7 linked regions of the Rattus norvegicus genome follow. Each later gene encodes a partner of the first gene's protein in a complex. Links are inferred from orthologs where the notes say so. Each region holds a gene or a part of one and is shown in the gene's direction. Other genes may lie near its edges. The genes, in order: Smarcd3, Smarcc2, Smarcc1, Dpf3, Arid1a, Smarce1 and Smarca4.

The links.
Region 2: Smarcd3 (region 1) and Smarcc2 share a complex: the UniProt entries of both Homo sapiens proteins name them as parts of the BAF complex. The link is inferred for Rattus norvegicus from reciprocal best matches to the Homo sapiens genes SMARCD3 and SMARCC2.
Region 3: Smarcd3 (region 1) and Smarcc1 share a complex: the UniProt entries of both Homo sapiens proteins name them as parts of the BAF complex. The link is inferred for Rattus norvegicus from reciprocal best matches to the Homo sapiens genes SMARCD3 and SMARCC1.
Region 4: Smarcd3 (region 1) and Dpf3 share a complex: the UniProt entries of both Homo sapiens proteins name them as parts of the BAF complex. The link is inferred for Rattus norvegicus from reciprocal best matches to the Homo sapiens genes SMARCD3 and DPF3.
Region 5: Smarcd3 (region 1) and Arid1a share a complex: the UniProt entries of both Homo sapiens proteins name them as parts of the neuron-specific chromatin remodeling complex. The link is inferred for Rattus norvegicus from reciprocal best matches to the Homo sapiens genes SMARCD3 and ARID1A.
Region 6: Smarcd3 (region 1) and Smarce1 share a complex: the UniProt entries of both Homo sapiens proteins name them as parts of the BAF complex. The link is inferred for Rattus norvegicus from reciprocal best matches to the Homo sapiens genes SMARCD3 and SMARCE1.
Region 7: Smarcd3 (region 1) and Smarca4 share a complex: the UniProt entries of both Homo sapiens proteins name them as parts of the BAF complex. The link is inferred for Rattus norvegicus from reciprocal best matches to the Homo sapiens genes SMARCD3 and SMARCA4.

What each region holds. Positions count from the first base shown.
Region 1 is NC_086022.1:11,469,776-11,473,275, forward strand, and holds the end of Smarcd3 (SWI/SNF-related matrix-associated actin-dependent regulator of chromatin subfamily D member 3), read left to right. Parts: coding exon 1-92; intron 93-238; coding exon 239-340; intron 341-491; coding exon 492-653; intron 654-1,141; exon of another isoform or gene 1,142-1,571; coding exon 1,572-1,669; exon of another isoform or gene 1,670-1,802; coding exon 1,803-1,938; exon of another isoform or gene 1,939-2,239; coding exon 2,240-2,362; exon of another isoform or gene 2,363-2,483; coding exon 2,484-2,585; exon of another isoform or gene 2,586-2,824; coding exon 2,825-2,878; 3' UTR 2,879-3,006; downstream 3,007-3,500. Other genes in the region: Chpf2 (chondroitin sulfate glucuronyltransferase precursor), read right to left, coding at 3,257-3,500. UniProt on the Homo sapiens protein: Involved in transcriptional activation and repression of select genes by chromatin remodeling (alteration of DNA-nucleosome topology).
Region 2 is NC_086025.1:1,473,003-1,476,502, forward strand, and holds part of Smarcc2 (SWI/SNF related, matrix associated, actin dependent regulator of chromatin, subfamily c, member 2), read left to right. Parts: intron 1-1,839; coding exon 1,840-1,915; intron 1,916-2,058; coding exon 2,059-2,190; intron 2,191-2,289; coding exon 2,290-2,405; intron 2,406-2,679; coding exon 2,680-2,804; intron 2,805-3,500. UniProt on the Homo sapiens protein: Involved in transcriptional activation and repression of select genes by chromatin remodeling (alteration of DNA-nucleosome topology).
Region 3 is NC_086026.1:119,048,556-119,052,055, forward strand, and holds part of Smarcc1 (SWI/SNF complex subunit SMARCC1), read left to right. Parts: intron 1-1,343; coding exon 1,344-1,602; intron 1,603-2,873; coding exon 2,874-3,035; intron 3,036-3,500. UniProt on the Homo sapiens protein: Involved in transcriptional activation and repression of select genes by chromatin remodeling (alteration of DNA-nucleosome topology).
Region 4 is NC_086024.1:108,853,826-108,858,117, reverse strand, and holds the start of Dpf3 (zinc finger protein DPF3), read left to right. Parts: upstream 1-1,492; 5' UTR 1,493-1,514; coding exon 1,515-1,546; intron 1,547-4,292. UniProt on the Homo sapiens protein: Belongs to the neuron-specific chromatin remodeling complex (nBAF complex).
Region 5 is NC_086023.1:151,262,587-151,266,886, reverse strand, and holds the start of Arid1a (AT-rich interactive domain-containing protein 1A), read left to right. Parts: upstream 1-1,500; 5' UTR 1,501-1,874; coding exon 1,875-2,999; intron 3,000-4,300. UniProt on the Homo sapiens protein: Involved in transcriptional activation and repression of select genes by chromatin remodeling (alteration of DNA-nucleosome topology).
Region 6 is NC_086028.1:84,673,374-84,677,673, reverse strand, and holds the start of Smarce1 (SWI/SNF-related matrix-associated actin-dependent regulator of chromatin subfamily E member 1), read left to right. Parts: upstream 1-1,500; 5' UTR 1,501-1,545; intron 1,546-3,376; 5' UTR 3,377-3,421; coding exon 3,422-3,428; intron 3,429-3,604; coding exon 3,605-3,648; intron 3,649-4,300. UniProt on the Homo sapiens protein: Involved in transcriptional activation and repression of select genes by chromatin remodeling (alteration of DNA-nucleosome topology).
Region 7 is NC_086026.1:28,460,819-28,464,318, forward strand, and holds part of Smarca4 (transcription activator BRG1), read left to right. Parts: intron 1-1,376; coding exon 1,377-1,509; intron 1,510-2,203; coding exon 2,204-2,608; intron 2,609-2,872; coding exon 2,873-2,971; intron 2,972-3,500. UniProt on the Homo sapiens protein: ATPase involved in transcriptional activation and repression of select genes by chromatin remodeling (alteration of DNA-nucleosome topology).

The sequences.
Region 1 (3,500 bases):
GTAAGCAGAAGAGGAAGTTTTCTTCCTTCTTCAAGAGTTTGGTCATTGAGTTGGACAAAGACCTTTATGGCCCAGACAACCACCTTGTTGAGGTAAGACAGATTGCCGCTGCCCGTGAATCACAACCTTCCCATCAGCCCTGGAGCAGCTGCAGATTTGGATTGAGGACCATCCTAAAGCCCTAGGCTCTACCAACCCAGATGAGTCTGTGGGTGACCTAGCTCTTCCCCCTGGACAGTGGCACCGGACACCCACAACCCAGGAGACAGATGGGTTCCAAGTGAAGAGACCAGGGGACTTGAGTGTGCGCTGTACCCTGCTCCTGATGCTGGACTATCAGGTTGGTTTTACTCCGTGCCTGCATGCCACACACAGACCCTACTCTCCTTCCTACTCACTTTCTCTAGGGGCATGCTGCCAAGGACCCTAACCTCCACGCCCCATTCTCTATTTCTCCCCTCAATCTCATTTTCCTGGTAACCTTTTCCCAGCCTCCCCAGTTCAAACTGGACCCCCGCTTGGCCCGGCTGCTGGGGTTGCATACGCAGAGCCGCTCAGCCATTGTCCAGGCACTGTGGCAGTACGTGAAGACCAACAGGCTACAGGACTCCCATGACAAGGAATACATCAATGGAGACAAGTATTTCCAGCAGGTAACATGTCCTTAGCCTCAGGATCTGGGGATCAGGGATGGTATCCTAGCAGAAGCACCTCCCTAAGGTAGCTATCTCCTTTTGCTGAGTTCCTGAATAACAGGAATGGTTAGGGCCATGGCCTTGGAGCCAAGAACAGGGTCTTGTCCAGGCTCTTCCTGGATGATCTATTCAGCTGCACCCCAAGGGAAGCAAATGTGGGGCCCTACTAGGGGAGGGGAGGGCACAGCATCCTGCAATGTAACCTTCTTGGTACTTGGAGCTGGGATCTCTGAGGTGCCGCCAGTCTTGGGTCTAGACTTGGGGTCACTTACTTTGCTATCCCTTCTGCCTCTTGGTCTGCTTCTGAAATGAGGGGTGGTGGGAGGTGTGCCATCACATGTGTTTGGCAGCTAGGAAAAACGACATTGCTGAAAGCTGACCCGACAGGTCTAGCAGAGTAGAGCATTGCTATTAATATGTTTTAAAATAAGCACAGTAGAGGAGTCTGAGGAGAAAGAGTAGCTGGTGTTTATTGAGCATTTACCATGTACCACTTCAGACACTTCCTGCTCTGCAGATTCACCCGGTTCTCATAACCACCCATGAGATGGGGTTGGTAATATCCCTATTCTGGAAGTGAAGGCACTAAGACCCAAGGTGCTAGGTAACTTCTCACAGGATGTGGCAGAAGGGACAAACGCTCAAGCAGGCTGACTTAGGACCCCACACTGGCCCCCTAATTATCCTGCTTCTCTACCTCCAGCCCAGCCCACAGCCATCAGCGCCCAGAATTCTGACTTGCCCTCAGCTTCTTGTGGTCTTTCCAGAATGGAAGGACTATTATTAGCTACTGTCTTTACACACACACACACACACACACACACACACACACACACACACACACGAATGATCTCCCTCTCAACTCTCCTGCTTCAGATTTTTGACTGTCCCCGCCTGAAGTTTTCTGAGATTCCCCAGCGTCTCACAGGCCTGCTGCTTCCTCCTGACCCCATTGTGATCAACCATGTCATCAGGTGAGGTGGCCCAGCCTTCCCCACAGAGGGAGCTCTCTGCTCCCCTCCCTGCTCCCCTCCCTGTGTCCCCTCCCCAGCCCTGGGCTTCCGTGGGGGTATACCATGGACATCAAAGGCTGGGCTTCTCTGGCAGCGTGGACCCATCAGACCAGAAGAAGACCGCGTGCTATGACATTGATGTGGAGGTGGAGGAACCACTGAAGGGGCAGATGAGCAGCTTTCTCCTGTCCACCGCCAACCAGCAGGAGATCAGTGCTCTGGACAGTAAGGTGCGGCCTGAACCCAGAGATAGAGTGGGATGTTAAACCGAGAGAGAGGACAAAGCACTCAGACCACAGCATGGCCCTGGGACACGAGGCACACACAGCCCCTCCCTGCTATCGAGAAGCTGACTTCACTCCAAGTTCAGCTCTGCCCACCCCGCTCCCCTCACTGAACTCAGAGAGAGCAAGGGCTCTGGGAAACTGCCCTTCACAAGAGAAGCTAGTCCCCCCTGCCTCCTCCTTCCTCTTGCATTCCTCCCCCACATCAGGGGAGGGCCAGGGGAGATCATTGTCTTTCTACCTGTAGATCCATGAGACCATTGAGTCCATAAATCAGCTCAAGATCCAGAGGGACTTCATGCTAAGTTTCTCCAGAGACCCCAAAGGCTACGTCCAAGACCTGCTCCGCTCCCAGAGCCGTGATCTCAAGGTGAAGACGGGGCTCAGGGGTCACTGATGTGAAGACAAGCACACAGGGAGGGGAAGAGGAGCATGCAACTCGGGCAGGTGAGGCACTTGGAACTCACCGCAGGCCCCGTGCTCCCTCCCAGGTGATGACAGATGTGGCCGGTAACCCCGAGGAAGAGCGCCGGGCTGAGTTCTACCACCAGCCCTGGTCCCAGGAAGCTGTCAGCCGCTACTTCTACTGTAAGGTAATGGAGGCCCTGGAACATGAGGCTTCCTTCTCCTTCAGTCCTAAGAGAGGCCTTGCCTCTCACCTGGCAACAGTCTTTGCTGCTGCCTATGCCCAACGCCTGTCCACCACCCTACACCCCCATGCAGTAGTCTCCTGGCTCCCAGACTCTTCCAGGGAAGGGGTGCCAGGAGGGGGTGCCCCTGGTCACTCACCAGGGTCATTGTAACCCTGCCCCTGCTCACGCTTCCTCTAAAGATCCAGCAGCGCAGGCAGGAGCTGGAGCAGTCACTAGTTGTGCGCAACACCTAGGAGCCTGTGAACACGCATCACTGTGGACCAGCCTCGCTGCCCAGCATGGACCCTGGGCTCTGGACTCCCTCTCCCGTGCTGTGCTGGGGTTGGGGAGGGCTGGATTAAAGGTCACTCATCAGACAGCAGCCTTGTGGTCATTGTGGATTGGGATGGGAGGGAAGAAGAGAGGGGAAGGCAGTGGAACCTGGCAGACAAACTCTCCATGACCCTCCTACAGATTCTTCTTAGCCCTCTCCCTAGACCTAAAAACAGTTTGGCAGAAGATACTTTTAATAACATTTCTTATTTTTAAAAAAATACAGCGGCAAGCCCTCCATCTGTCCATTGCCTTGCCTTGCCCTTCCTGGGGCTATGGCAGACCCAGGGGTGGAGAAGCTAAGTGCTGTTGGCCTGCTCCTGCTCAAACAGAGCCATAGCTAGCTGGGTACGGGCACCCAGCCCCTCCAAGTTGCTGAGGCGACAACGGTGGTACAGTTCCTCACTGAGCCGGGGGCTGCAGTCCCTCAGGGAGAACTTCTGTACCAGCCCTGGCTCTACGGCTCGAAAGAGGTGGAGCCCTGAGAACCGGAGGAAAACATCCATCACCTCCAGCCCCTCCAGGGCTTCCTCCTCTTCCTGG
Region 2 (3,500 bases), on another chromosome or scaffold:
GATGGCCATAGAGAATTGGGGCGCCTGAAGCCCTGGAGCTGCAAGCAGAGCCCAGCGTTGTTAGTTTGTTTCTTGGTTGCTTTTTTTGTTAGTTTATGTGTGAGTGCCCACATGTATGTATATGTAGTACCGCATAAGGGCCTGGTGTCTGCAGAGGTCAGAAGAGGGTGCCTACAGATCCTCTTGAACAAGCGTTACAGGTAATTGTGAGTCATGACGTAGGTGCTGGGAACTGACCCCAGGCTCTGCCAGAGCAGCAGTCGCTCGTAACTGCTGAGACATCTCAGCCCATGCCCAGCAACTTTATGTAGGTTCTGGGAGCAGAATACAGGTCCTTATGCCCACGGACTGGTCATTCTCCAGTTCAGTTTCATGTTCCTCTTTATTATGCATGCAATGCATGCATACATGCATGCATGTATACACACATACATACATACATACTTAAGACAGGGTCTCATGTAGATCTGTGGCTAGCCTGACTTGGTCTATAGACCAAACTGACTTTAAACTCACAAAGATGCACCAGGTTCTTCCTCCTGAATGCTGAGATTAGAGGATTGCTCTTCCACACCTGGCCTTCTTTTTCGTGTGGGGTGTGTGTGTGTGTGTGTGTGTGTGTGTGTGTGTGTGTGTGTTAGGGCCAGCCTAAGCTATGTGAAGTTGTATCTTAAAACAAAAGTTAAAACAGTATAGTAGTGGTTGGGGATTTAGCTCAGTGGTAGAGCGCTTGCCTAGGAAGCGCAAGGCCCTGGGTTCGGTCCCCAGCTCCGAAAAAAAGAACAAAAAAAAAAGCAAAAAACAAAACAAAAAAAAAAAACAGTATAGTAGTAGGAAAATGTTTCCACAAATGTATACAATTAGCCTGGGTTATTATGCAACCTTTAAAGTGACAGAATACAGTTACTTTATAGGCAAATTTAAGTGAGAAAAGGAGGTTCACACCTACAGGTCCAGCTTCAGCTCTAGCCCCAGCTCCCCAGAAGGTAGAAACAGGAACCTAGGATCTATAAGCTCTTTGTGAGACATAGCATGGCTTTCAGGGAGGGAAATAAGTGTTAAGTGTAATGTAGTTGTAATTACTTTTGAATGCATGGTTGGTTATAGCTTACCCCGATGCCCAGGTCTCACCGCGTGACACACTCTGACCTTAGACTTAAGGGATCCTGCTTCAGCTTCCCATAGTCTATGCTAGATTGTTTTCATACTTTTTGGAAAGCCTTTTTGTCCTCCTGTATTTGATTTGTTGGTTGAGTGGTTTGCTAGTTTGGTTTTTAAGATGGTCTCACTGTCTGTGAGGCTGCTTCAGTCGGACACAAGACCCTGCTTCAGCCTTGAGAGTGCTGGGGTCACAGTCGTACGTCACCAAGCCTGGATAGTTTCATGGGTTCAAGAGCCTGTCTGAGCTCGCCAAGCACTCTACCACTGAGCCACCTCTACCCCTCTTTTACACTTTTATTATGAGACAAGCTCCCACTACACTGACCAGGCCAGCCTTAAATTCTCTCTATAGTTGAGGCTAGCCTTGAACTTGCATCAATTTTCCCAACCTCCTGAATGTAGAGATTGTAGACATAAGTCACCACATCTACCAGCTTGAAATATTTTATGATATGCTCTCATTGCCTTGTGGCAAAAAGAATCCTGATTTAATTGGACAGATGAACAGTTGAATGTTTTTTGTAAATGGAAAGGCAAGGCTGGGTATGTGAGTCAGTGGTGGAGGCTGCTAGTAGGAGAAAGACCAGGGCCCATGTCTGCACTGAGAGGCATGCAAGGCTGCGCTTTGTTCCTGCATTTCACCTCCGTCCCCACCTCCTGCTGAATCTCTTCTGGCAGCTATGACACGTGGATCCCAGCCAGTGAAATTGAAGCATCTGTGGAGGACGCTCCCACTCCTGAGAAACCTAGGAAGGTGAGCTTTCCTGGTACCCTCCACTGCTAGAACACCCAGGACCAGACCTCTGTGTTGGGGGAGCAGGAACTCTGTGTAAGAGTTTCTAGACAGAAATGTGGCTTCTAGTAACTCTGATGTGGGCTGTCTGTCCTGTGCTTCAGGTCCATGCAAAGTGGATCCTCGACACTGACACGTTCAATGAGTGGATGAATGAGGAAGACTATGAAGTTAGTGACGACAAAAGCCCAGTCTCCCGCAGAAAGAAGATCTCAGCCAAGACGCTGACAGATGAGGTGAGCTCCTTCTTGTCAGAAGCCTGAGCTTACACCTGAGACATGCCTCACTGGGAACTGAAGGGCCAACTGTCGTTCATCCCACTCCCCGTTGTGCAGGTAAACAGCCCGGATGCAGACAGACGGGACAAGAAGGGGGGGAACTATAAGAAGAGGAAACGCTCTCCCTCTCCTTCGCCAACCCCAGAAGCTAAGAAGAAAAATGCTAAGAAAGGGTATGCTACCTCTCCTGTGCCCACACATGCTGTCCAAGGAAAGACAATGGTTTTTGAAGTCACTGGCCCCTGGCTGGTTGTCTGAGAGGAGGGTGAGGGGACCCTCATGTACCTGCTTGATGGTTTTAGTCCTGGTTATCAGTAAACTGAAAGAAAGCTTAGTCACCCAACAGAAAGTCTTCTGCACTACCCCCTTTACTCTGCATATACTGTTTTCTCTTTTTCCTTCTTATAAATGCCTCTAATTTCCAAGGATAACTCTTTCCCTTCCCAGACCCTCCACACCTTACACCAAGTCAAAGCGAGGGCACAGAGAGGAGGAGCAAGAAGACCTGACAAAAGACATGGATGAGCCCTCTCCAGTCCCAAATGTGGAAGAGGTGACACTCCCCAAAACAGGTATGAGCCAGGCCGAGCTCCCAGGCCAGTCCCTACCCTCTCCCATTCCTGCTGTGCCCAGCCCCCCAAAGGACTCTTGCTTTATATCCATGTCTCCTATGGACCTACAGTTGTCCACCAACTTTGTCTTTCTGTGCTGAGAATTGAACCTAGGAACTCCTGTGTACTAGCAAATGCTGTACCCCAACCTCCAAATCTGTTTTTGTACGTATTTGTATGTGTTGGCCAGCCTCTACCTTGTGTTTTTAACATTTAGTTGTATATTGGTGTGTATGTGTGTGTGTGTGTGTGTGTGTGTGTGCTCGCCACAGTGTACATGTGGAGGTCATGGACAACTTGTGGGAGTTGGTTTCTCCTTCCACTATGTGGGTTCCAGGGATTGGCAGCGAGTACTTGTATGCACTGTGCCATCGTGCCAACCCTCTGCCTTGTGTTCTGAGACCTGGGACTTGAAGGTTAGGCTAGTCTGGCTGGCCAGGAGCCCTGAGGGGTCTCTTCTTCCCTGCTTCCCCAGCATTGGGATTACCAGTTTGGGCCAGTCTGGGCCACTGTGCCTGGCTTCTTACATGGGTTCTGAGGATTGATCAGAACTTCAGTCCTCTGCAAAAAATACTTTACTGACTGAGCTACATCTCCACCCTGATAGGTGTTTGATTATACTTCTCATCAATAAAATATATTTCAAGACAAATTATG
Region 3 (3,500 bases), on another chromosome or scaffold:
CAGGAAATCATGCCACCAGAGAGAAGTAACAGTAGCAAGCCCTAAAAGGTTGACAAGTTATTTCATTTGTTATATTTTCTTACTATTTATTTTATGTATTTAATCATATAGATTCAGGTTTTCGTTTTTGTTTTGAAGGTTTTTACGACTTTTTACCAAAACTCTAATAAATTTTATGACTCATTCTATTCTGTCCTGTCAATCTTTTACTGCTAGCCTCAATTTTTATTAAAAATCCATTGTCTTGTAGACCTTAGTGTGTTTGTATGGGTAGATGATGATGTGTATGTGGAAGGCAGGGCAACATTGGAGTCTGTTCTCTTCTAACATCTTGTGGGTTACTAAACAGTGACTTCGTCTCTCAGCCTTCTCACTTGCCCCTTTTTATTGTTTGTGTCTCTTTCTTTCCTCCCTTTCTTTCTGTCTGTCTTTCTGCCCATCTTTTCATTCTCTCACGTTGATTTTCTTTGTATCATGTTGGTCTTACACATAATTTACTCAAATTTTTATTTCATTTTAATAATGTTACAAATATTTTTCCACTTTAAAATTGTTCATTGCGGGCTGGAGAGATGGCTCAGTGGTTAAGAACACTGACTGCTCTTCCAGAGGTCCTGAGTTCAATTCCCAGCAACCACATGGTGGCTCACAACCATCTGTAATGAGATCTGATGTCCTCCTCTTGTGTGTCTGACACCTACAGTGAACTCAAAAATAAAATAAATCTTTTTTAAAAAAGTTATTCATTGCTATGAGAGGAATATAAGCATTGTTCTTGCTTTCTCTTACGCTTTTAGCCCATCTGATATTGTCGTGGTAATCTTCAGCCACCATCTCAGAGTAGATTCTTTGAAAGTTTTCATGTAAAGAGTAGTGATCCAGTTTAAACGAATATTGTAATGTTCAGGTATTTCATTATTGTTTTGTTGCCTGATTGACAACTTATTATAAGGGTCACTGCCAGATTACCTTTTACCTTAATGTAGAAATAATTATTTATATTACTAGTTTGAAATAGGATCTTGTCCACTCTGTTATCTTCAAATCTTGTCTCAGTTTACAGACAGTTGGGGTTGAAGGGCATGCGCCACCATAACTACTAGATCACTACCCAAATTTTTTTAGAATTCTGTCTGCAGAATCTTAGCAAGGTTGGGTTTGCATGCCTAGCACTCTTGAGCCTGTGAACCAGGGTTAGTAGAAGTTGAAGACCAGCCTGTATCACATAGTGAGATCCTGTCACACAGAAGGGGGAAAAAGGGCACTGGCTTCATTTTTCTTCCCTTCTATTTTCCTTCCTTGTTATTTGATGCTATCACCCTTTTGTTTCTGTGTTCACTTAGGCTCTGGAGATGTACAAGGATGATTGGAATAAAGTCTCGGAACATGTTGGAAGCCGTACTCAGGATGAATGCATCCTCCACTTTTTGAGGCTTCCCATTGAGGACCCATACCTTGAAAATTCAGATGCTTCTCTTGGGCCACTAGCTTACCAGCCTGTCCCTTTCAGCCAGTCAGGAAACCCCGTGATGAGTACTGTTGCCTTTTTAGCATCCGTGGTTGACCCTCGAGTAGCATCAGCTGCAGCCAAAGCAGCTTTGGGTATGTACTTCCTGTGAAAGCTACCTCTCCAGCACTAAAGTCTGACTTTATATTCAAATATGATTAGCCATGAACTTAACATTTGCCTCAGTTATATAAAGTGTATGCTGTGCAAGCATGAGGGCCTGAGTCAGATCTCCAAAGCCTGTGTAAAAGCTAGAAGCTCTAGTATATGCTTATAGCATCTATACTGGGAGACAGAATAGATGGTCTCACAAGTCATCCTGACAGGGATAGTAACTCAGAGATAAGGTGGAGGGAGAACTGATAGAATCTTTGTTGATGTCAACTGGATTAAACCAGCAGACTTAAACCCAGGCACAAGCTCACCCCCACACATACATACAAATGCTTTTAAGAATATCAGCTGTGTTAATACACATTTCTCTCTTATAAGTCACACAACAAAAACTAAAGATAATGTGCTTCATCAAAATGTAGAAAATAATTTGTAAGGACTTTGTTTTTCTTTCACTTTTAAAAATCTATTTTGTGTGTGTGAGAGAGGGAGGGGAGGGGGAGAGGGATGGAGGGAGGGAGAGAGGGAAAGAGAGAGAGGGAAGATCACTTACCATGATATATCTCTGAAGGTCAGGATTAGCAGTGCAAGGGTGAGCTTTGTCCTACTACGTGTGCCTCATGAATTGAATTGTCAGCCTGGCCACAAATGTCCATTCTGGCTGAGCCATGTTGCTGGCCCATAGAATATTTGTGGATTTAGAAGAACAGCTAGATAATTTGGCATAACCTGTGAAATTGCAGCTTTTTAGAGGAAGAGACAAAAGAATCAGGAGTTTAAAGTTCAGCGTGGACTATTGTGGATCTTGTCTCAACCAACATACATGTACATACACACTCGTGTATAAAGGAAAGTAAGTGTTTTATGACATTAGGATATTGGTAGAGATATAGCATGGAAGCTACTTAATTTATTTTCAATAACTTAATTTCACCCAGGCATCTTTTATATTGTAGGATTTACATTTTTAAGGTTGTTTGATCCTTGCTGTTTTTATAGTTACCAGTCTTGCCAGCAGAGTGGTGAAATCAGGACTGAAATTTTACTTGTTTCTAATAGATTTTTAAACAACTTTTCAAAGTATAATAAAGAAGGCACTATTATGTTTTGGATAATAACCTAGGGAAGTGATTGGATTGATTCATTTTATATTTTCCCTAGTGTGCTCACTGTATAAACTGATGTTACTTTGTCACACTAGGATCAAATATCTATGCAAAATTAAGATATTGTCTTTGTGATCTTGACTCAGAGGAGTTTTCTCGTGTCCGAGAAGAAGTACCCCTGGAATTGGTGGAAGCGCATGTCAAGAAAGTACAGGAAGCTGCAAGAGCCTCTGGGAAGGTGGATCCTACCTACGGCCTGGAGAGCAGCTGCATTGCAGGCACCGGGCCCGATGAGCCGGAGAAGCTTGGTGCGTCACTAATGAGTACAGCATTCGCTTTAGAGATGCTTATATTCCTGTCAGTGTGCAAAATCACGGGCTTTGCTTACACACAAGCAATCAAAACAATATAATGTGCCTCTACATTTTATTATATATATTTTTCTCACATTCTTGTGAGGTGGACAAGGGGGACGTGGTACAGAGAAAGCAAGAGCTAAAAACAGTGCCTGATAACCAAACAGTATCAGTTCCTCAGTATGTATGGGTGTGAGTGTGAGTGTGTGTGCCATAGGTGTAGTATGTATGGGTGTATGTGTGTGAGTGTGTGTGCCATAGGTGTAGTATGTATGGGTGTGTGTGTGTGAGAGAGAGAGAGTATGTGTGTGTGAGTGTGTGCGTGCCATAGGTATAGTATGAATGGGTGTGTGAGTGTGTGTGTGCCATAGGTATAGTATGTATGGGTGTGTGAGTGTGTGTGTGTGTGTGTGTGTG
Region 4 (4,292 bases), on another chromosome or scaffold:
AGGGAGCACTATCACACCTGGTTCTCTTTACAGTGCATCAAAAACAGCTTCCTAATCGTGAGACTCTGTAATGAGAAGAGAGGGTGGGGGAGAACATCACCCTACTAGGCAAACAAAGAGTTAAATATTTCCAGTCTGCACACACGGACTCACTCAGCTTTGCTGGGCTTATCTGTAACTCTAATAGTGAATGGAGTTGGAATCTGAAAGTTCCGAACTGCTTTGTGATTGTATTTTACTTTATTCATGGAGAGTCGTAAAAGGCGAGAGCAGGTGGAATTGTGAACTGCAATTCAGCATCTCTCGGTTTCCTTTTCACTCTCCAGCTCTCTGCTATTTGACCTGATTAAACAGCCAGGGGATAGCCAGACTTCTATATGCTAACGATAGAGTCTCTGGACTCTATGTGATTTCGTGCGTTTTCGCCCAGTCTGAGTCTCCCTGTGCTCCGTGGAAGCCTGAGTTCGCAGAAGTCTTAGTTTCTTCAGGGGTTCACCAGACTCTAAGCAGCCGAAGACTGGGGAAGCCTCCAGTCACGTCTGAACATTCACTTGCAGATTCTTTTCACCTCCTATCTTAGTCCAGAAAGGTGACGCCTGGATTCGCAGAGCCATTCCCGGAGGGGACTCTAGCAACACCTACAATTGTCAGGCTCTAACAATTTCTGCCTAGTTACTGGCTTCCCTAGCTGCGTTTCCTAAAGTTGCCTCAAATCTTCCCCAGCCTTCTGCCTAAAAGGTGCCAGGTCTCACTTCGTTCCCAAGCTGGTCGTGTCAGATCTTCGAAATCGTCGACAGTGGAGAACGGTGGTCGTAGGGGACCGTGCAGAGTGACCACCTGTGAATTACGTAACAAAAAACCATGGCTGAGACATTCCAGGGGGAAGGGAGTTGCTGCCCTGGACTCTCCCGTTCTCAGAAACCGACCGAGGAAGGTGGGTGAGATAAAGAAAACACTTCGGGAACAAGAAAATTGAACAGCGGCAGAACCCAGAGCATTTTTAGCAAAGAGTGGAGCACAGTAGTAATTTCTTGGAGGAAACTGCAGCCTTCCAACTTTTTGCACTTGTAACACAGTGGTGTACCCGAGACTCGGGGGTTAAAACCGTGATATACAAAGCCCAAAGCTAATGAATGGGATTCAGCATTTTTGTTGGCATTATGTAAATATTCTTGTCCAGGAGCGCAAACTCTGCGGTTATTTAGTAAAGTAGGGACTCAAACTAAGCGAGATTGCTCTCCCATGTATCTCCACTAGTCCCTATTTGAAAGGGCGCTACTAACACGGTACTGCCCCTTTAAGACCTGCTCGCTCTCGGGCTCTACAAAAGGGAGTGACCTCTGGGCTTTGACAGCTCCCCTAATAACTACCACCACGCAGGCTCCGCCCACTTGGCGACCAGCCGCGCCGATTGGCCGGCAGACCGGTATCCCGTGCTCTGATTGGCCTGCCGCTTCCCCTGAGCGAACCTTTAGAACTCTGAGACAGACAATATTCTGTTACATTGTAGCAAAATGGCGACTGTCATTCACAACCCCCTGAAAGCGTAAGTAAGACTAAAAAATGTACATATTCCGCGTGGTTTCAATATGAAAAAAAGGCGCCTTGCGGAGCGCAGCCGGCGCTCGGCTCTCGCAGACGCCTCCCGCTGCGCCCGGGCTCCTCTTTTCTTCCTGCTCTTACTTCTTCATCTTTTTTCCTCCCAGCGCGCAGAAATGTCAGGAGATGCAATTAACAAAAAGAAAATTGTTAAATTTGTGTTCTGCTTAATTGGCTGACCCGGACCGGGAGGGAGCACAGAGCGCCGGCGCCGGCTCCGGAGCTGCGGGGGTCGTGTGCAGCTCGGGTCTTCACGGTCCCCGGAGTCCCCTGCCTCTCCCGGCGCCGCGCGGGGCTGGCTGAGTCCGGCCGGAGCGCGGGGCAGGGGCCGCGTCCTGCGCTCTGCTATGCCCTGCGCTCCAAGCCGGAGCTTCCCCGGCCCCGCTGCTTGTCCACCGGGGCGGGCAGACCGACCGCAGCGGCTGCGGAGTTTTGCAGGGCGTTCGCTCTGCCTTCCGAGCTCTCCCAGGGAGTTTGTGTAAACCTTCCGGAGTTGGGAGGACGGCGCGCGGAGCGGCGGGTCCCGGGAGTCCTGGGGCCCAGGTGCTTGCCCCGGGCTTTTCCACTCCGGCAGCCGGGGATCAGGCGGGCGCTCCGGGCGGTCGCCGGTGTGTCTGTGTATTTGTAGGCTAACTGGCTCTAGTAAATTAACGATCTGGGTTAACTTGAGGTTGATATGGAGACGGGGAAACTGCAGGTCTTATTAATGGTGTGCTCGCCTGCTCTGGGTGAAAAGCTGAGGCGGCGGAGGCGGCGGTGTAGGGCTCTGGCGACAGCGAGGGGCAGGTGCCTCCCGGAGACTTTGAGCGGACAGAGGGGGGCGGGCTGCGCAAGGACTCGCGGGGGCCGGTTCCGATCGGAGCTGCCTGCCTGCCCGTCTTCCTTCCTTCCTTCCTTCCTTCCTTCCTTCCTTCCTTCCTTCCTTCCTTCCTTCCTTCCTTCCAGTCGGTGGACTGAATATGAAGCCGCCAAGTCTGCGGGTGATCGTGGAGCTGGGGGTGGCCTGGGAAAACTAGTGTGGCTCTCAAGGGGCGCTATTGGCAGGGATGTTGGCAGAGGGTGGATCCTTGGGAATCGCGGCGCGGCGTGGGCACCGGGTGGGTGCCGAGTGTACTAGGACTTCACGCCCTGATGAAAGCCTCTGGGAATCGGAGGGTGCGCGTGGGTGTTTAGTACCAATTCTTCCCGGTCTGTGTCAGTGGTCGATCTTGGCTTTTAACTGCGCGCTACAGCGTCCTAAGCCCTGGCTCCGGGAGTCGAAAACACCGTTCGCTTTGGGGAGCAGCAGGGCGGCGGCGAGTGTGTGTGTGTGTGTGTGTGTGTGTGTGTGTGTGTGTGTGTGTGTGTGTGATTCCTAGTGCCAAGAAACGCGTAGGGAGAACCCGCTGCGTTTGCACCAGCCAACAACCAGGAATAGGGCAGGGATGTCCCAGATCTCGGAGTTTCCACGAGATACTGCGGTAAAGACAGGGGCTGAGCTTGATGCGAGTTCCTGGCTCCGGTTCCCGCTCGGAAGCTCAGCTACTTTGCACTCGCGACAGCGTTTAACCTGAGAGGGGAAAAAAATGTTTTATGGCAGAATAAATGGGCGTAACTTCGCCGCGTCCTCGCCGACTCCCGCCACCACACCGCTGGTGCCGTGAGTTTCTCCAAAACCCACACAGCTGATTTGCAATTTCCTCATTTCCAGTCGAAATCACGTAGCAGAGCTGATGCTGCTTGGTAAACTCAGGTCTGAGAGATCTATTTGCTATGTGTACGGGGTTCCTCATTGGGAAAGCGGCATCCTTGGTGCCCGGGAGCGGGCTTACGCTCGGGCGCGCGCAGGAGCTCCACGCTCCAGGGTTCCCCAGATCTTTTCACTTTTTTTTTTTGACACAGAAGCGTGCGTGTATTGGAAATTGTGGGGAGAAGGAACAGAGAAGCTAGAAGGTGGTCAATCTCGGTTGATAGAATTAGTTCTGAATTATCCTTGTATCCCTTAATAATTGGAAACACTTGCCGTGGGATGCATTTGTAACTCCGTCTTGGCTCACGCACAGGGGCGCTCACCCACAACACCCCTGCCTGCCCTTTCCTCAGAGGAAGTCCAGTGGTCACTTATAATTAGCCATCCCCTTTTGTATCCCATCCTCTTCCCCTGAGGACTAAGGGTGTAAACAATAACCCCAATCAGCCAAGCTTTTTGCACCCTGGACATTTTCAAAACTCCGCACGCAGGAGCACACACACATCGTTACTGGGAGACCGAGGCCATCTGCTTTTATCATTATTATTATTATTTTAAAAACAACTTGTTTAATAAAACATCCTATACATTTCATTTGTTTTTAGAAGTTGCTGACCAGGAAACAAAACACACGTGAATAAATTATGCATGGGCTAAATTAGAACAAAGCAGAGCAACGCATCCAGCCGAAGGGATGGATGGGGGCGCAGGGAGGAGGAGGAAGAGTGAGGGGAATGGTTTGGAGAGCTTACGTGTTTATCCTTGTGTGCCCCTCCTGACAATGAGGGAGCTCCAAGCCACATTAGCATTTTCTCCGTGTGCAAGCGCTCTCTCTCGTCTTAAAAAGGCAACATCACGGACGCCCCCTACAGAAACTGGTCACAGAAAGATTTCCTCTTGAGCCTGGGGATAAGTAGCAGTAGTAACGGTGTTGGGAAGAAGCCAGCTCAGGTTTCTTTCATGC
Region 5 (4,300 bases), on another chromosome or scaffold:
AGATAAACCTGGCCTTAGGGTCTCTGGTAAACTTCAAGGAGTCTTACACCTTAGGAGAGACAGCAGATCTGAGGGGCATCCGTTTTGTGTGACCTATTAGGCTCTGCTTTTTCTCTCTTTAAAGAGGAAATGGTTTCCATTTTCTGCATCCCTCTTTTGCAGTGGTTTTTGAACACTGAGGTTCTTCCAGTCCCTGGAGCCTTTTCTGTGGGCTTGTTTACATCTTCAAGGTACTTTTGGAGATTGGGGCTACTGGCCATTGTGAGCTAGGTTCCCTTAGGAAGTGCTAATGGAGCTTGGTTTGCCTGGAGGACTGTCTTAAGCCCCCAAAGCATCAGTAGCCACCATTTTAAGAGAAGTGGTGGGATGACCACGTTCGATTTCAAACCTCCTGACACTGATCCTGTTGTTGGATTTGTTCACAACGTAAGTGCCTCTCTTTTCTCCTTTCCTCCTTTTCTCAGGCTAAGTAGACAAGATGCAGCTTTGGCGACTCCACTTTTTATAGCTACACTCTTCTGCCCTCTGACTTTAAGTGACCTGGGCAGTCCTCTCTCTCTTCTGTCTGTTGGTAAAATGGGGGATAATCCAGACCTCATGCCCCCAAGGCCTTGTCAGGGAGGGCTAATGAGGGCAGGGCATGGAGAACCGATAGTTTGAACAATGGTCAGTCCTCCTTTGGGGCTAGCCAAAGGGGGCAAAAAGCAGGGCTCACTCAGCTGGGTCTCAAGAGCAGGTCTGCAAAAGGCTTTGAAGAAGAAAAGTGCTGCGGAGGTGCTAAGTCGCAGCCAAGAGACCAGGCCCTGTGCCAGGGGGTCAGGTCCCGGCCGCTGCGGCCGCGGTTTCGGGCTCAGGCCAATTTTGCAGGCGCGGGTAAAGTTCACGCGGCCCGCTCCCTTCAGATCGGCCAGGAGGGGACAGGCCAGGATGGGAACGCCGCGAGAGAGGCGGCGCAGGCTCCGGAGGCGCGGGCTCCGGGCCGGGTTTTCCCCGAAGCCTTCGGCGGCGGCGCTGCCGAGCGAAAGAGGCTGAGGGCTTGCCGCCGCCGCGGCTCGTTCTCTCCCCTCCTCCTTTGTGAGGGGAAGGGAGCGAGTCCATTCCACGGCCTGCGCCCGCTCCGCGCTCCACTCCGGGTTTTTCAGGCGGCCGCGACGGCGCTGGGTAAAATGGCAGTGCTGAGCCTCGTGTCGGAGTGAGGGGGACTCGGAGGAGAGTGGGGCGCTCTAGCTGCTCAGTCCCGCCGCCCGCCCGCCCGCCCGCCCGCCCGCTCGTTCGCTCGCCTGCCGCCGCCGCGCAGCAGCCTCGGCCCGAGCCGCGGCCGGGGAGGCGAGGCAGGGCGCCCGCCGGAGCAGCGCTCCTACTCTGCCTCCCGGCGCCCCGTCCGCCGCCGCGCGCCCTCCAGCCCGCCCGTCCCGGGTCCCCCCTCCCCCCCGCTCCCTCCCTCCTTTCCCGCCCCCTCCCCCTCGCCTCCCTCCCTCCCTCCCTCCTCCTTTCTCCGGCAGCAGAAAGCGGAGAGTCACAGCGGGGCCAGGCCCTGGGGAGCGGAGCCTCCACCGCCCCCCTCATTCCCAGGCAAGGGCTTGGGGGGAATGAGCCGGGAGAGCCGGGTCCCGAGCCGACAGAGCCGGGAGCAGCTGAGCCGCCGGCGCCTCGGCTGCCGCCGCCGCCTCCTCCTCCTCCTCCGCCGCCAGCCCGGAGCCTGAGCCGGCGGGGCGGGGGGGAGAGGAGCGAGCGCAGCGCAGCAGCGGAGCCCCGCGAGGCCCGCCCGGGCGGGTGGGGAGGGCAGCCCGGGGGACTCGGCCCCGGGGCGGGGTGGGAGGGGGGAGAAGACGAAGACAGGGCCGGGTCTCTCCGCGGACGAGACAGCGGGGATCATGGCCGCGCAGGTCGCCCCCGCCGCCGCCAGCAGCCTGGGCAACCCGCCGCCGCCGCCCTCGGAGCTGAAGAAAGCCGAGCAGCAACAGCGGGAGGAGGCGGGGGGCGAGGCGGCGGCGGCAGCGGCCGAGCGCGGGGAAATGAAGGCAGCCGCCGGGCAGGAAAGCGAGGGCCCCGCTGTGGGGCCGCCGCAGCCGCTGGGAAAGGAGCTGCAGGACGGGGCCGAGAGCAATGGGGGTGGCGGCGGCGGCGGAGCCGGCAGCGGCGGCGGGCCCGGCGCGGAGCCGGACCTGAAGAACTCGAACGGGAACGCGGGCCCTAGGCCCGCCCTGAACAATAACCTCACGGAGCCGCCCGGCGGCGGCGGCGGCAGCAGCGACGGGGTGGGGGCGCCTCCTCACTCAGCCGCGGCCGCCCTGCCGCCCCCAGCCTACGGCTTCGGGCAACCCTACGGCCGGAGCCCGTCTGCCGTCGCCGCCGCGGCGGCCGCCGTCTTCCACCAACAACATGGCGGACAACAAAGCCCTGGCCTGGCAGCGCTGCAGAGCGGCGGTGGCGGGGGCCTGGAGCCCTACGCCGGGCCCCAGCAGAACTCGCACGACCACGGCTTCCCCAACCACCAGTACAACTCCTACTACCCCAACCGCAGCGCCTACCCCCCGCCTCCCCAGGCCTACGCGCTGAGCTCCCCGAGAGGTGGCACTCCGGGCTCCGGCGCGGCGGCCGCGGGCTCCAAGCCGCCTCCCTCCTCCAGCGCCTCTGCCTCCTCGTCGTCTTCGTCCTTCGCTCCGCAGCGCTTCGGGGCCATGGGGGGAGGCGGCCCCTCAGCGGCCGGCGGGGGAACTCCCCAGCCCACCGCCACCCCCACCCTCAACCAACTGCTCACGTCGCCCAGCTCGGCCCGGGGCTACCAGGGCTACCCCGGGGGCGACTACGGCGGCGGGCCCCAGGACGGGGGCGCGGGCAAGGGCCCGGCGGACATGGCCTCGCAGTGCTGGGGGGCTGCTGCTGCGGCGGCGGCGGCAGCGGCCGCCTCGGGAGGGGCCCAACAAAGGAGCCACCACGCGCCCATGAGCCCCGGGAGCAGCGGCGGCGGGGGGCAGCCGCTCGCCCGGACCCCTCAGGTACACAGCTGAGTGGGGAGGGGGCTGGGGCGAGCGGGGCAGGGGGGTGGGTGGCGGCTGTGGGGAGCAGGCCCCGGCCGTGGGCTCCCCTCAGGCTTGGGCCCCCACTGCCGGGGAGCTGCCATTGTCTGGCTCTTCTCTCTTAAAATGGCTGCCTGTCTGCCTTCCTCTCCTTCCCTCGATCAGCCTTTGTGTGGGGCTTTTCCAGAGGTGTCTGTCCGGTTTCTCCTCCTCCGCTGGTCCTTTCGAACTCTGGGGGTCTCCAGGGGGGTGCAGAGCAAAGTGTGCCTGGAAGGGCCAGGCCCGAGTGAGGGGGTGCTGGGGGTTCAGGTTAGGGGTGTAGGCAGTGTCAGGAACCCGGGAGAAAGAAGCAACATTTTCTTGCTCACCTGCCGTTCCTCTGTCCCCCTTGCCTTCCTCTAGGCAGTTCCCCAATATATGCTTTTAAAGAGTGGCCCCTAGGGCTCGGGGGACCTCGGGGGAGAGCTGGGGCCTGCTTGGGGGCAGCTTGAGGCCGACTGTGGTTCGCTCTGGGCCGCCCGGGCCACCTCTTTCCTTAGTCTCCGCCGGCCCAGTGGCCTGGGCTTCTCTCTGGAAGTGCTGGTAAACAGCTGAGTGATTGGAGTAGTAAGTGCAGATTGCTTTGGTTTGGGATTTGAATTATGGAGGTAAAATCCTTCTGTCAAAGCCAGGAGACAGTTGGTCTTAGGTTGACATCCTATCTGTGATCTGATTGGCTCCCCATCTTCTGCTCTTGGCCATTTATAATTGCCTCTGATGTAATGGTACAACAATCCTGATGAGCTCATAAACTTTTACACTCTGCTTTTCTGCCAGTGATAACCCAAACCATCGATGCCACCACTATCCGCCTTTTATTCCAGAGCTGAAATTGGCTGTGACCTTGAGGAGGGAGGTTTAAGCAGCAATACTGTATCAGCAGGAGCAGAGTCCCAGACAGGCTGCCCTTGTTACATTGTGCCTGAAACAAAAGAGGAGGCGATGGCATTTTGCTTGCACCTTGGATTTATTTTGCTTGTTATGTTTTATGCAGTCTGAAATAGATTCTGTGTTGCTGGAACAGTAGCTGAGTTTTTCCTCTACAATGGGTTTGCTGTTTGTTTTCGTTTTGTGACTTTCCTGATGGTATAAATGAGTTCTTTGATAGCTCTGAAGATACATTTGTCTCGAGTAGTTTTTGACACTGTGTTCAGCTACAGAACTGAAATTATTTTACTGGCTTTTTTTTTTTTAAATTAAAAGGCAAATGTGAGATCTGTAGGGGGAGAAGATGGTTTTGT
Region 6 (4,300 bases), on another chromosome or scaffold:
CTTTCCTACCATTCCTTAATCCCACAGTTGCTAAAGCAGGGACGTAACAAGGCTGGAGTTACTGGGCAGACAGAGGAAGAAGACACTGGATCCCTGACGTAACTGTGTGGATCCTACATTCATCTTCTCTATGCTTTTTGTGTTTTAAAAAAAAAAAAAAAAACATTTTCAGATACATTTCCTTATGCTATTCACTCATCTGGAAAACTCTCCTTTAGCCTTTCCTTTCAATACACTTTTATTTCATTAATTTCATCTCACCAGAATGAAAATATTGGACAATGGAAGAACTGAACAATATTATCATTTATTCCTGGCTCTGCAGACTTCTAAAGATACCTCACGAGGATAAGGGCCAAGAGGTAGTCCCAGAATTCAACCAGTTTCTCTAGATGCTAACACTGTCCTTAGATAACCACAGACGGTCTGCTCATTTTTTCCTCCACCATGACGTGACCCACACTAGCCAACTTCTTATGGTCCGCCAAATACTTGTAATTTGTAAAAAAAAAAAAAAAAAAAAAAAAAAAAAAAGCCCTGGAATAGTCCAGAAAGGTGGCTACACACACACTTACTGAGCACCTAATTACAAGTCTAGCCCTTCGAAATCATTGGTAATTATGAAATTGTCCAGTCCAGATGCCTGAAATTTGGTTTTCAAGACTCTCCAAGATTGCAGATGGCCCAATCCCATCAAGAGGGTTTCAACAGGCCCTGGAAAAGTTCTAGGAGGGCATCACAAAGAAACATTGAGCTGACTATTTAAAGACAAGCGAGGGTGAGCTGAATTAGCCCTCCTGGTAAGAGATGTGAATTGTCACAGGTATGCAAGCTGGAAAGAGTGAGCTGACATATGAGGACCCTAGGCTCTGAAACCTGTCGCCATCATTCAACCTCTAGAAGCATCTGGAAAAACTACAAAACTCCCGTGTTGCTTTTCGCTTAGGTGGAGGCAGGGAGCCCTGCCGAGCGCCAGCAAGGACCAAAACGCGGGGATCCGGGTCCTCCCCGCCTACATTCTCCATCCTCCATCCACACGTCCATCAGCGGAGTACAGAGGATCAGAGCGAAGGGGAACGCCAGGGTTTGGGGTGTGCGGGAGCTGCGACCCGCCCTCTCCCGGGAGAGGCTCCAGCGAGCCTTCCCCCAGCGCTTGCCTCACGCAGCGGAACCCACCGCCTCAGTGAAGCCGGGGTACGCAGTCTGCGCAGTTCCTGCCGCCGGGCCGCGAACCAGGGCCCGCAACGCGGCCCAACCTTCTCCGCCCTCCTCGCCGTGACGAATCGGCGCCCGGCTGGGACAGGATCCAAATTGAAAGACTTCTGAGGGATCCGAGGAGCCTGAAAAAAAAAATCTTTGGCGCACTAAACCTTGCCGCGTCTTCACTGGAAGGGCTGTTCGTCGGAGGAGGGCCGGCCGCAGCCCGCAGAAAATTCCCCGGAGCGTGTGGAAAGTGCGAGCGCGGAAGCTCCGGCGCGAGGGGCGGGGCGAGCGCGGGACAAAGGGAAGCGAAGCCGGAGCTGCGGGCGCCTTCTCGGCCCGCGGGTGAGTGTTTCCCAGTGGGCCCGACCCGGTCGGGGAGGGTGGTGAGCTGTGGTGTTTCGGCTTGGCGGGACCCCGAGTTCCCGCGGGGTGCTGGGGTTCGGCCTCGGCTGCGAGGCGGGAGCTAGAGCCGGTGCGGCCTCTGAGAGGCCTAGCGGCGGTGGGGGAGCCCCATCCGGGACAGCTTCTCGGAGGCGCCACTAGTCCCTTTATGCTGGACTCCGGACGCTGGCCGAGCACCCATGCACAACCCTCTGCGGGGGAGTTTCCAGAAAAGCTCACCCTCCGCCCGCCACAAACTCAAAGGAAAGGATCTCGGGAAGCCCAATGGGCAAGGCTAGCGGGGGTCCTCACCCAGGAAGGTGGTTCCCATTTTGGTGGGTGGGGGGTGGGGCTCAAGTAGCGGCCTAAAGACACCCGGGGTGGCTTGGATGAAGTCTGAGACGGTGTGGGTTGGGTTTAAACCCACCTCTGGCATTTCTGGGCCTATGGCCTTAGACACTTAATCGCCCCGGGACTGTTTTTTTCCTTTGTAAAATGGGGACAGGCCATACGTATCTGGTAGGGTCGTTGTGACTAGTGAACAAGACTGTTAAAAGCCTGACCCGTAAGGTAATTAATTCAACAAATACTGAGTTGCATGCCAGGCACTATGGTTAGATCCACTCTCTACTAGAGTTTGTAGCCCAGGAGAGCAATCATTTGTAAGTATTAGCAGTGAAGTGTAAGGTGCCAGGGACCCTGTCACAGTTTCTGTCGGGGCTCCCCACAGCAAGGCCTACTGGGTGTTGATGGAAGTAAAAGAGATGGGTTGAAAAAAAATTAGCAATTAACACATCAAAAACTCTTAACCCTGATGGTTTGAGGCACTTCCTTTAAATGAAAACTAGAAGAAAGAAAAAAATGTATTCACCATCTTTCTAAAAATAAATTTTCATCTCTTTATGCATTACCATTTGTGGTCTGTGTTGAGAAAGGAGCAAGCTCAGATAATGTCCGTGTTTTGAGCTGGTAATACTAGGACCCAATTTATGAAGAATCGAGCTACGTTTGAGTAATAGGTTAGACCATCCCTCCTCTCTTGCAAGACAGAACCCAGCCACATTCACATGTTGTGTGAGGGAAAATGCCACTGATCTTTAGTAAGCCCTGTAGGAACGCAGAGACAAGGCAATTAGTTCTGTCCAGATAATTCACCAGAGAGGACCTGAGGTAATTTCTGAAATGGACAGTAAAGGAACAACAGGTGTCCTGTCAGTAACCTGAGAAAATTGTTCCAGCTCTTAGGGAACTATTTACCAACAAAAGAGAATGTAAAGTTTGTTAGCATGAGTTATCTTTCTTTCACACTGCCTCCAGGAATAAGACGTTGCTCTGTTTCGATAAAAGAGGCCCCCTCGATAGGGCAGAGCTTCTGATCAGGGGTTATTGGTCAGTATCTGGTAGGCCTTGTTGGGGTCACCCTGATAATACATCACATTCTATTGTCATTATTTTTTTTTTATCAGTCTTAAGTAATCGTTCGCATGGCATCAGCAAAATGTTTTCCATACAAGACGTGGCTCTCAATGTCATAAGCAAAAACCTAAAAAAAATCCATCTCTGATAGAACTCTAAATTTCCCAGTAATTCATTTTCATCACTTAATTCTGATCAATCAAATGAATATAAGGACTAGTTAAAATATGCAAAAAGGCTTGATTACTAGCAATTAACAGTGAAGTAATTTTGCTCAGAAATACCAAACTACCCTATTCTTTAGGAAAACATTCTCTTATGCTTGCTGAGTTTTGATTCTCTTTTTTTTTCTTTTTTTTCTTTTTTTTTATTTTAGTGTCTCAGATTCATTCTTAAGGAACTGAGAACTTAATCTTCCAAAATGTCAAGTAAGTTTCAATTTTTATATTTATCAATCTGTATTAATACGAGACTAATGCCCTAGCAAATGGGAATTCCAAAATACTCTCATTTTTTTTTCTTCAAAGCAGGACCATTGGTAGTTTTGTTGCATAGTATTATATCTCAGTTGTTTACAAGAAGTTATTTATTTTCTTTCAAACAGAAAGACCATCTTATGCCCCACCTCCCACCCCAGCTCCTGCAACAGTAAGTTTTAATTTTCTTGTTAATGTAATAGCCAAGTCTGGCCTTGATACAAAAACCCAGATGTCTTCCACTGACAGTCACTCAGTCTTCACAGCCACAGCATAGAAAATTCAGCTAAAAATCAGCACTTCCTACTAAATAAAATAACTCCTTTCATCCTTACCTTGAACCAAACCCAACATTTAAAATTACATGCTATGAACTCCCCACCTCCTGTGCTCTCTTTTCTCCTAGCAGGAAATCAGTGAGACACTCCTTTCTAGCCTTTCCCCTGGTAAAGGGCCTCGCAGCTGACAGTGAGTCAGTGCTCATCCTGCTGTTGGTTATTCCTTTATTTGTTGTTTTTAAACCTAACCTTCAACCGGTTACATTTTTCTCTCACTGTAAGTAAGGGCTGGGGTAGCTCAGTGACAGCACTCACCTAGCATTCGCAAGGCCCTAGGTTGGAACCCCAGCAGCACAAATTTTTTAATTAAACTTTCTTATCTGTGTATAAAATTTTCACATTAAATAAAGTGTCTTGTTCTAAGGATAACTACACTCATAAATCTTATTTTCAAGCTGCTCAAGTAAGGGTTTCATTACCCATGGGTCAGATCTCGTTTCTAAATTTTGTTCAGGTTGGTTTGCCAACTGCTCTGCTTAAAGGTGT
Region 7 (3,500 bases), on another chromosome or scaffold:
TGGCCTACATACATGGAGAGTATTCAGTCTGCCAAGCAGCTCTCCTGTCCTGAGGCCTTGGTCTTCCTCTTAGGACTGGCTGGGAGTAATGTCAGCATTTGTCTGGGCCCACAGAGGCTGGGGTGTAAGAAGATGTAGTTGAAGACAGCAGGAGGGTTTACCATAGTGGCGCTGTCAGTTGCTCCTCTTCCCTGCAGGGTTGCTCCTGTGTTTGCTTCCTACCCCTGTAGGCTTCCTAGTTTAGGTTGTGTTCCCTATCCACAAATGAGGAAGGCGCTCCTTCACACGCCTCTCTCATTCCTCTGCCTGGGTTGTCCTTGTACTCTGCTTCTGAGACACCTCCATCTCTGGCTTCCCAGTTCCCGAACTATTCTGTCATCTTAGAGCACTTATCTTGCTCCTTTCTCCCTATAAAGGAAGCTCTGGGTCACATGTATGAGCCCACTGTCTGGTTTACAGGGTCCTCCATGTGCCACAAACTACATCTCTTTTCCCTGTGCTCCTTATCCTAGCATTGCTCACACATGCTACTGCCCATTGGACACCTACCATGTATCTAGAAATCTATGTCCTGGAGTCCTGGTGGGTAACACCTCACCGAACCTCTTCTACGCTGTAGGCAACCCTGTTGCTCAGCATAAACAATCTTGGGGAGCCTGCACAGAGTAGTGGCCCCACAGGAAGCTGCCCTCATGCCCCGTCTCAGCTTCCTTTGTTACAGCTATACTAAGTGTGGCTTTGGTATCACTCTCCTTCATCACATGCTGGCCTGTGAGTTTTTGCTGAGCACAGTGCTCGATAACCAGTCCTAGCTGACAGAAGGGTCTTAGGTATTAATCTCTCCCAGTGGCCGCGCTAGCCGTTTCCCTGGGAGGCATGCCTACTCCCACAGGTGCCATATGGCAGCATCCTGCTAACATTGTGCTGTCTCAGTGGTGGGACAGTTCTGCATCCTTCCTTCCTAAGCTGGCAGCTGCTGAGGCCTTGAGGACAGTGGGGAGTCTCACTGTAGTCCAGTCTAAATATGCAGCAGACCTTTTTGTAGTTTGCTTGATTTATAGTCTCCAAGGGTGAGGGCTTCAGCCCTAGGTTTGCAGCAAGTCTCCTTGGCACAAAGTGCAAGAGACCAGGACATCTTTCTTTGTGGTTCTCACTGGCTTGAAAGACAGCTCCATGCCTCCACTGCCTAAGTAGTTACCTTTTCCAGTAGCTTGGTTTTGTGTCTGTCCTGACACCCAGAAGGTGAGTGTGCCTCAGAGCTAGCCCTCTGGCCCCCTTGGGTGGACCTCTGTGGTCTTCTTTCTCAGCTTTGCCTCTTGAGCTTTGCGCAGCTGCCTCTTGTCCTTGGCTGACCTGTCTCCTTGTACATCTTACAGCCTATGGAGTCCATGCACGAGAAGGGCATGCCTGATGACCCACGATACAACCAAATGAAAGGGATGGGCATGCGATCAGGGGCCCACACAGGTATGGGACCTCCGCCTAGTCCCATGGACCAGCATTCTCAAGGTACAGTTTGGGCTGGTTTTTGTTTCATGTTCATGTGCCTGGAGCTCAGAATCTGCTTTCTTTAGTGGAGATTTCAAGGACAGCTAGTACAACTGAGCTATGGGTTGGCCTCCCTGGTGACGTGTGGCTAGTTCTCTATATAGCCCTCTTGCCTTGGAGCAGTCTCGAATACTGAACAGGTGGGACAGAAATGATTGGTTAGCATGTTGTTTGAGGTCAGGGATTAGCATGATGGAGCTGGGGCTAGCAACTCCAGTGGTGCCTTAGGCCACTGCTTTAGGCAAGATGGCTTTTCTACATGGGGATGATTGATACTGTAGATGACTTGTTGAGTCCCCCCGTCACTAGGGGCAGTAAGTAAGGTACTGGGTCCTAGGATTCATAGGAATGACAATGGAGAAGTTGACCTGGACAGAGGGCAGGCTTGATGGGGCCTGGTTTGCAGTTTTTACCTTTTGAATTGATTAACTGTACCCCACTGAAGCATGTATCCAAGCTCATTAGCTTGTGTCATGACCACATTAGCTGCTGGGCTGAGGCTCTCAGTCAGCCACCTACCTCTGGGTGCTTCTTGTTTGACTCAGGAGAATGATGTTGCCTAGTTACCTCTCCAGGGATGCCAGGTAATGTGATGTGATTTAGCTGTTATAGATGCATGCTGCTGAGTGACCACTGAACTAGTCTTTCCCTGCAGGTTACCCCTCACCCTTAGGTGGCTCTGAACATGCCTCCAGTCCTGTCCCGGCCAGCGGCCCATCTTCAGGCCCTCAGATGTCCTCTGGGCCAGGAGGGGCCCCACTAGATGGTTCTGACCCCCAGGCCTTGGGGCAGCAAAACAGAGGCCCAACCCCATTTAACCAGAACCAGCTGCATCAACTCAGAGCTCAGATAATGGCCTATAAGATGTTGGCCAGGGGCCAGCCATTGCCCGACCACCTGCAGATGGCCGTTCAAGGCAAGCGGCCGATGCCTGGAATGCAGCAGCAGATGCCAACACTACCTCCACCTTCAGTGTCTGCCACAGGACCTGGACCCGGCCCTGGCCCTGGCCCTGGCCCAGGTCCAGGACCAGCCCCTCCGAATTACAGTAGACCCCATGGTAAGACCTATATCCCTGCCGCTGGAGTGGGGAGAATGCTTAATGTGTATGATAATAGCAGGCAACCCTGGCTCCCAGCTAGTGGTACCTAGGACTGCTGTGATGGGTGGGGGGTGGGCGGTTATGTCTACCTAAATGCCATTTATTCATCACTCTGGCCAATAATTATTGTGGTGGGTGGGTATGTTCCCTGAGCTGATATGAGAGTAGGCCAGCAGCTTTGAACATAGTTGTATTTATGGTGCTTTCTTTCCTTTAATATAGGTATGGGAGGGCCCAACATGCCTCCTCCAGGACCCTCAGGTGTGCCCCCCGGGATGCCTGGTCAGCCTCCTGGAGGGCCTCCCAAGCCATGGCCTGAAGGTAAGTTTCTTTTCTATTGGTGACATGCTCTACTTCTTGTCATGAACCTGAACTATGCAGGACTCCAGAAGTTAGGCTACAGTTTTTTGTTTTGTTTTGTTTTTTTGTTTGTTTGTTCGTTCGTTTTGGGTTTTTTGTTTTGTTATTTTAAGATTTATTTATTTATCATATATTCGTCACTTCAGACACACCAGAAGAGGGCATCGGATCTCATTAAAGATGGTTGTTGTAAGTCCCCATGTGGTTGCTAGAATTTGAACTCAGGACCTCTGGAAGAGCAGTCCATGCTCTTAACCACTGAGCCATCTCTCCAGCCCTAGGCTACAGTTTTTCACCCTAGAAACCTCAGATTTTTCGGTGGAATTCTCTGGGGTTCAGCTGGGGTCCACAGGGTACTTCTTATCTTCCTTGTCCTATGGGTAGGAATCCTGCAGTCTCCTGCAGGGGATGTGTCTACTATGGGACTCAAGGTGATGGCTGGTTATAGCTGTGACTACAGGCAAGCTTACTCAGGATAAGGGGCTCCTGA